2 linked regions of the Nothobranchius furzeri genome follow. The main gene of each other region encodes a partner of the protein of the gene in region 2 in a complex. Links are inferred from orthologs where the notes say so. Each region holds a gene or a part of one and is shown on either strand. Other genes may lie near its edges. The genes, in order: rab3gap1 and rab3gap2.

Evidence for each region.
Region 1: the proteins of rab3gap2 (region 2) and rab3gap1 are in contact, whole or in part, in a cryo-EM structure (PDB 8VYB), measured with the Homo sapiens proteins. The link is inferred for Nothobranchius furzeri from reciprocal best matches to the Homo sapiens genes RAB3GAP2 and RAB3GAP1. Residues at the interface, in NP_036546.2 of Homo sapiens: Arg197, His198, Pro199, Gly200, Ser276, Pro277, Phe278, Asp279, Met281, Lys282, Ser285, Asn286, Ile287, Gly289, Phe290, Asn291, Ala292, Ile294, Arg377, Phe378, Gly379, Leu380, Pro381, Asp382, Arg385, Cys395, Thr397, Leu398, Arg407, Arg415; in NP_036365.1 of Homo sapiens: Thr19, Ser21, Trp23, Glu24, Glu142, Ser143, Asn146, Leu147, Leu149, Ser150, Ser153, Ile154, Ile169, His170, Trp173, Arg174, Met176, Arg187, Asp189, Glu191, Met192, Val193, His194, Leu195, Arg196, Pro199, Tyr202, Ile211, Ser214, Lys215.

What each region holds. Positions count from the first base shown.
Region 1 is NC_091756.1:3,938,924-3,942,789, reverse strand, and holds the end of rab3gap1 (rab3 GTPase-activating protein catalytic subunit), read right to left. Parts: intron 2,777-3,866; coding exon 2,661-2,776; intron 1,411-2,660; coding exon 1,308-1,410; intron 1,189-1,307; coding exon 955-1,188; 3' UTR 562-954; downstream 1-561. UniProt on the Homo sapiens protein: Catalytic subunit of the Rab3 GTPase-activating (Rab3GAP) complex composed of RAB3GAP1 and RAB3GAP2, which has GTPase-activating protein (GAP) activity towards various Rab3 subfamily members (RAB3A, RAB3B, RAB3C and RAB3D), RAB5A and RAB43, and guanine nucleotide exchange factor (GEF) activity towards RAB18.
Region 2 is NC_091758.1:43,886,591-43,890,399, reverse strand, and holds part of rab3gap2 (rab3 GTPase-activating protein non-catalytic subunit), read right to left. Parts: coding exon 3,786-3,809; intron 3,718-3,785; coding exon 3,619-3,717; intron 3,542-3,618; coding exon 3,402-3,541; intron 2,846-3,401; coding exon 2,650-2,845; intron 2,565-2,649; coding exon 2,421-2,564; intron 1,351-2,420; coding exon 1,268-1,350; intron 1,195-1,267; coding exon 1,130-1,194; intron 1,060-1,129; coding exon 969-1,059; intron 894-968; coding exon 772-893; intron 697-771; coding exon 483-696; intron 402-482; coding exon 304-401; intron 225-303; coding exon 116-224; intron 1-115. UniProt on the Homo sapiens protein: Regulatory subunit of the Rab3 GTPase-activating (Rab3GAP) complex composed of RAB3GAP1 and RAB3GAP2, which has GTPase-activating protein (GAP) activity towards various Rab3 subfamily members (RAB3A, RAB3B, RAB3C and RAB3D), RAB5A and RAB43, and guanine nucleotide exchange factor (GEF) activity towards RAB18.

The sequences.
Region 1 (3,866 bases), on a different chromosome or scaffold from region 2:
TCCACTGGAACCCCTTCCTTTTTTCACATCACCCCAGTTCTTCAGCAGCTCCACGGGCTTCCAGTTTGAGGTCCACCTTCAAGATGGTCCTCCCTTGGGCATTGCACCCATGGGGGATGATGAGGTTAAACACTGACACTTTTCCTGCAGTTTTGCTCAAAAATGTTACTATCAGTCTGGTCTCTCCCCCCCACCCCCACCCCCCACGCCCCCCACCCCCCACCCCATTTGCTAATTTAAACCCGTACCTTTGTGCACCTGTGTTACGTTAATATCCATTCACATAACGTAGTTCAGCACTTTAGAGAGGGAGCGAGACGCCTGTCATCCAGTTCTGGAGCTCATGCGGGCTTCTGTGAGCTGGATCCGACCCAGAAACCAGCTCCACTGGCTCACTGGTGTTTTTAAAAGCCACACATCCTCTCCTGGTGGCTGCTTGACAGAATGGACTCAGAGGCATAATTAGCTTGTTTTGTGAATTTCAAGCATGCTGTGTCATCTTAGCAGGCACACGTTAGCATGACCTGGCTAACAGGGATGGGCAAAATAACAGCAGAGAAATTTCATTAGATTTATTTATTTATTTTTCAGACCTGTAGCATTACTGGACTTACATTTTGGTGAAATGGTTTCACATAACATCACTTGATGTCTTAACCATGAAACGGAGAATCACACTTAAAATCAAATACCTCCTCCTCTAGAGGTATGCTGAGCCAGCAAACTTATTTCTGACAGCAGTCTGAGGTGAACCTGGGCTCCACAGGCTGTTCACACCTGCTGGGCCTTTCTGTGTTTAGGATACAGTCACGCACATCTCTTCTGATGGAAGGTTTTGTTGAAAGGTACAGAAGGGAAATGACCCCCAATAAAAAAGAATGTTTTTCTAAATTTTAAGCTGTTTTGCATCAGCCTTCAGTCTGATGTGTAAATCACCATTTACCAATAAAAGTGTTAAAAGAAAGACGTGTCTGAGGAGAAGGCCCCGGCCAGTCTGAACTCCTCCTTCATCAGCACACAGAAGAGCCTCTGAGGCAGAGCTTTGGAGTATGGAGCTGGTCGAGGAACATACGTTCGCAGAATGATCTCCCGGCCTGCCGGAGAAGGGAAATCTGATGTTTTCCCGCTTTCACCAGCTTTCTTTCTTTCAGGCTCCAGATCATCATCGCCTGGTACCAAGAGGGCTGCCTGAAGAACAGGAGGTAATGGTCCCAGAGATCAGCAAAAGAGGTGAATCGCAGATCTGACAGAACACAACTCAAATAAAAAGAAGGTGGTGTGTGTTTGTGTGTGTGTAGCAGCTTTACCCGCTGAGCATTTAAAAACAGCCTGTGGATAATCCTGCCAGTAAGACCCTGACCAGCTCCCGTCACCACCACCTCTGGTTCCTCCAGCAGGGAGCTCACAAACCTGAAACAAAACAAACACCGTCCTCATGCAAGTGAGGATTCAAACCCACACACGCTTAAACATATAAAGCAGCTCTGAATCTCATTCCTAAGCAGTTTCAGTCCAGCTCACACCTTCCTGCATCTAACCAACACGACTTAACACGGGGTACTTGGAGGAGTTTCTGCTCCTTGAACGACAGACAGCCGGACTCTCCCATATTCCAGTCAGAACTGACAAAGCTCCTCGGATGAGAAGCAAAACGTCTTTAAGAAACCAGAGAAGTCCAGTTGTCTTCATCTGAACCCTTCGGATCACCATGACCTGGATGACTGAGAACCTTCACCAGCACGTAGTTGTGGGCATTCCCTTTGTGAGTGGTCATTTCCATGGCGGTAAAACATTCGGGATTTTGTGTCAAAACAATGTAACAGGAGAGCCAGAGTCACAAAGGCGTGTCTGTATGGGTTCCTTCACTGCTGATGGGCTGCTCAGGGAAGACATTTATGTATGTGGGTGGAGTCTAGGCGCGTCTCAGTTCCTGACCCGGGTAATACTCAGCAGGCTTAAGGGTTTCGGACCCGTGAGATGGAGAGCTGGTCTCGAGTGATTTCTGGTCCTAGCTGGAGAGATCACGAGTTTGGTATTGGACAGGACATAGTCAGACTTAAAACCACACAGAACTACGAAAATATAGATTGAACAAACTAAGTAAATATGTCACAGGTGTGGCCTGTCAGGGGGCTGACTAGACCGCAGTAATAATGTACAGGTGTGCCTTAGACGGTTCTCTGAAGACACCTGGATGCTAAGCCACTAAACTAACAGCCAAGATTCTAACACTAAATCATTTTAATACTAGAAGCTTTGTTGGGACTCTGAATCAATGCTAATGCTAAACAATAGCTAAGCTACAGCATAAACACTCACTTGTGGCTAACCCGAGTCTCAGCGGCTACCAGACGTGGCCGAGACCCCGGTGCTTGTCTAACCTGCAGCCGCAGCGCTGCTACGGGTCAGAGTACCGGCTATGCTGACTGTGCTGTTTCAGCCATCGGAAACGACACATTCCAGCTGCTGTTGCATGCTTGAGAGCTGAAGATGGCGCCAGACTGAATTTTTTAGGCTGAATTTTGAGCTTTAAAATAAAATGCAAACATAGTGACTAGACGTGTCTACTACACTGTTAGACACTCATTTATACAGTTCACCAGCAAAAACAGTTGACTTAGGCGTGACTTGCTCTTTAAGTAAAACTGTATGAAACGTACTTCTTCAGCTCTTCTGTGGCTTCTCCAGGTTCCCCTTTATCAACAGCAAACTTGTCCTTGAGCGACCTTGCTCTGGTGATGACGGTCTCCATCACCACCAGCTGGTTAATAAAATCCTGCAACAAAGCAGTCCAGTTTACAGTTTATAAAACTCATGTGCATTGTAGGCATGTTCAACGTGAGGCCCGGGCTTCAGGAAACACTTCTCTACTACCACAGCCCTTCTGAAACTCACCGGTGCCATTTTCCTAGATCTTACCAAAGCATGTCATCTAGCGGATCACTTTCTAGATCTTCACTTTTGTGGTTTAATTTTTGTCTTCTAAGGGTAGCCAGTAGCTGATAATGAAGGCATAGACAAAGGGATTCCTCAAGGTTCGTCACTAGGACCTTTATTATTTCCTATTTTTATCAACGACCTTCTATTGAGCTGCTTAAACTGGGACATTCATCTCTATGCTGAAGATGCTATTATTTATTGTGCTAAATCAAAAACTACAGATCTAGAAACTGTTCTACAACACGATTTTAATAGTGTGGTTATCGACAAACAAGCTTATTTTAAATAAACCAAAATCGTACTCCATGCTGTTCTGTAGAAAAACTACGAGTAACTCCAGAAATGATTTAAATTTTTGTATTTTAGATGCATCTCTGCTGAAACCAGTAGAAACATTTAAATACCTAGGTGTTTGGTTGCAAACGGAAACTACGTCAGTGCTAGGGGCTGCAAGACTTAATTTTTTTTTAAGTCAACTTTGACTAGTCGTTGATGACGTCACACACCTGAAGCTGGGGGGTTGGCTCGCTGGAGTTTTTGACAATTAAAACTGCGCCCACGCCTCTTTTAACAACGGTAGTTTCTGCATCTTGCTTCTGTCCTGTCTCTGTTTATGATCTTCCTGCATCTCCTCTCAATCCTAAAGAGAAACTGCTACCTGGCTTCATATATATTCACCTTATGAGTTACCTTTGAACTGCAGTTCTAAAAGATCTACTGACCGCAAAAATAGCGGAGTGCTCGCCGGCCGCACCGGTGCGGTGAAGTTATTGGAGGACAAAACAGGTGATGCGCCCCGCTCCACAGCAGCGAAACGCATCAGGCACAAATAAAAGACAGAAAACATAAAAGGAAATGAGCCGACATGAACGATTGCGTGTTAAATCTGTTTTTGAGGTGGTGACACCTGATTTGATAACATTACT
Region 2 (3,809 bases):
GGGGGGTCCTTTGCAGAAAAGCTCCAGAAAAACATCTCCTAGCCCACCTTTAGTCACAATCCTGACATGTTCTCATCACATTTATGCTAGAAAGTAGTAGAAAAGGAAGTCAAACCTTTCATTTCGCTAAGAGCAACAAGCAGTGAGTGCAGGTTTCCAACGGTTTCTGCAGGTTTCTGCAGCACCTCCTTCTCCCTCTGCAGCCACACGCTCAGCAGCAAAGACTAAAGTCAAAGCATCAAACAGGAATCAGTTCCTAAACACAGGGAAGCATTTTTGTTTCAACTGGGATTAAGTCCTGACCAGTAGCTGCTGTGGACTGAGGCCCGCCTGCTCCAGTGTGTCACACACTTTATGGATGGAGCTCTGACCACATAAACAACCCCAGAACACGAAAGTTCCTGCAAAACAAACGACATCATAAGACAGCAAAGTCCGTGTTCACATTAAATAAGGATATAAATATGCAAATGTTAGCTTACCTAGCTGGTTCCATTCTGCATCGGACCTGCGGACCACCTTAACCTCGCCTCCCTCTGTACACTCCAGCAGGGACAGGAAAGTGTGGGCAGGTAAAGGTGTGTCGGGAGAGTCCTGAGCAAAGGAAACGCTGGGTTTGGCGTTAAAGTTAGCGTAGCGCCGCAAGGCTGGTTCAGCGCGCGACAACTCCTCCCCCATGCCTTCAAGGGAGTCCCGCTGTGGGAGAAGGGAACGTTACCCGGAGAGCTGGAACTTGGGTTTATGTTTCGTCACCGTTTCATCCACACGCACATTTCCAGAGCAGGCCTCGGTGTTTTCAGCCAGCTGCAGCTGCTGGATGTCTGTGAAGAGCTGAAGAAGTTTCAGCTGTGAGGAGCAGAGCTGCAGCAGCGACGCCTCCACTTCATCAGCAGCTGTGGGACAAAAACACAAAGAAGGGGACTTGACAGTCTGTCCGGTTTTCCCTGATAGCAGAACGTTGGCTTTACCCTGCTGCTTTAAGGTGTCGTGTAAGGCCCTCGTGATGTTGGTGAGACAAGAGACAGGCGTGCCCTCGTTTGACAGCAGAGACTCCAAAGCCTGGGGGAGACGCAGACTGGAGTTAGAGACGCGACGTACGCCTTAACCCAGTTTTAATGTTCTGTTATACCTGTTTCTTAATAACCGGGTGTTTAATTTCCAACAGGACGCTTTTTGCTTCACTCTCCAAAGTTTCTGTAACAGAGAAGACAAAATGAAAAGTGGAATCTTGCACCGTGATTCCTTTAAGCTTTCACGGATCTGTTACCGGGATCCTCGTCGCCGCTCTTCACTAGAGCCGTCAGCCTCTTTAAGAGGTGCATGTCCTTGGCCCGCTCGTTTTTTTTGTCACTGAAACGGAGAAAAGCGGATTTTCATCAACATTTCAGCTCTACTTCTGTTTTGTCCTCAAACGCAGCAGAGAGCTTTCAAACTGGTTTCAGCCATTCCCGAGGCAGAAACTTCACCGCCTACCCGCGGGACCGCTTCTTCTGATCAGGAAGTGGACCCAACCCCGGTTTCACACTGAACGCCTCAGCGGAACGTCACCGTTTCACATAGAGTCCATTATAGTCTATGGACCGTTCCAAACCAGCAGCGATGCGGCGATATCCAGGATCATTCGCTCACAACATCGTTCCAGAAGTGCAGCAGTGTTTTTTCCACGGCTTTGATCCCGGCAGTGGAGAGGATCATCATATCTGGCATCAAACAGCGACATAAAACAACATTTCCTCCTTTTTGGTTTAACGGCGGATTGAATAAACAAACCGCGGCCTGAAGTGTCGAGGGATCGTGCGATCTCGTGAGCACAGCGAGGAAGCCGCTCCGCTGCTTCCAGTGTGAAACCGGGCTAACAGTTTTGTGGCGTGGGTAGGAACACTACTAGGAGATCGCCGCCTGCTTTACGGTAATAGCTGTTTACGGTGCAGGTAGCTAGTATAAAGAGCATCAGGCAGCTTTGTTCGTTTGCCAACCAGCGATAAAAAGCACAAGAAGAAGAAATAGAAGAAGTCTGAGTTTTTTGTTGGTATCACAGCGAAGCCTGGGAGTAAAAGTAGGAGGGTAACGTCTTTGGAAACGAAGTAACGAGCTAAAACCAGAAAGAACATTGAGTTAGCTAAAGGAGGCTACAAAATCATGGACCGATGGTGACCTGGCTTTGTTGCTGCTGGACGTGTAAGTGATAATGTGTACCTTTTACTTCGTGGCTTATTTTGGAATCAGTTGACTCGTGTTAGCGTTAGCTCGCTAGCTACAGCAGGGCTGCTGCTGCAGCTGTAACTCAGCTTTCAACCAGTAGGCGGGAGAAGTGGGCGGACGTATTTAGCGTTGCTTTAAAGCAAAATCACTGGAAATATATCAAAATCTTGTCCCAAAGTCAGAGTCTTGAATTATTTCCAACTCTGGCCCGTACCAACCTGAGAGCCAGGTGGAAGGGAATGTTGATGCTCCTCAGAGCTCCTGTGGTGGGATCCAGCAGACACACCTGCTGCGTGTGGAGCTGCCAGCCCTGACTGGTCACACTGTTCACCCCCATCAGACGGTAGCCGGCAAACAGCAACCTGCAGAAACCACCAAAAGAATCTGATCTCTGACTCTGGTCAAACAGACATGAAGCACTGGCTCCTTCATGCTCACGCTGCATACCTGCACTGCTTGCCCACGGTGAAAGCGCCGACCCGAGGGCCCCGCTGCATGGCCCACACTTCCAGGATTCCTCTGCGAGGAGCGTAGATGATGAGGAACAAAGCGTGACGTCTGGGAAGGGAGGCAGACGGGGAGAACTCCCGATCACCACGCTCCTCCTGAACCTGCAGCCAGCCCAGCTGGGCGTCTCTGTAACCTGTAATTAAAGAAAATCCTTAAAGGTCTCATTCCTGTGATACATGTACCGCCGTCTCCAGAGTTAGCGAACGCCTCGTGAGTCATTGTCTGAGGAAAAAAAAGCTCTGGCGCTTCTGTTTCAAGGGCTAGAAGTTAGCTAGAGGAGTGGGGGTAGCATTAGCATCACCACCACCCAGCAGAACTCCTCCAGGCTTGAGCTGCAGAGCAGAGTCAGTGGTAGAGTCGTGTTGCTGTTAGCCAATCAGAGGAGAGATGTCCAAATGTCAGGAAGTAATGGCGCTTTCGCATCTGGCCCATTCCCGGCCGGTCCTTGTAGCGTTGGTCCCACCGCAAGTGGCCGGGTTTTGTTCACACAGCCTTCTCGGGAACATGGAGAGCTTTGAGCGCGTGGGCGGGGCTAGACACACGGAGAAGACCGCGGCGTCCTCCTCTAGTTAGTACACAGAGGTGGCGTTGTCTGATACGAAGGACGCCGTTTCCTCCTCACGTCCAGCACGCACGTGCAACTCAGAGTTCTCCATTTGATTTTAGGGGTCGAACTCGTTCCTTCGTACCTTTCCACATGCGGATGGCGATGCCCCTGGCCAGGTCCAACAGCGTCACTCGACCAAAGTCATCCGTCACTCCAGCGAGCGTGTTGCAAGGAGACAGACATATGGACTCTCCGTGGCGCCGGGAGTCCGGAAGACCAAATCTGCAAGAAGGAGAACTTCCTGTTAGCGACGTCGCCGGGACTCACCTGTGGAGGAGCGGAGTCAGCCTGAGACGTACCTGATCCCTAAGGGGGTTGCGGGCTCCACTTTGGGTTTCTGTTTCTGAGCAGCTTCCTCTTCGTTCTTATTTCTGTTTTTGCTCCAACCCAACCAGCCACTAAGACAAAAACAGTGAGTGCGACGAGTGAAAGGTAACGGTTACCTGCTACAGAACAGGTTTCGTACCTGGCAGCACTGAAGAGGGCAGAG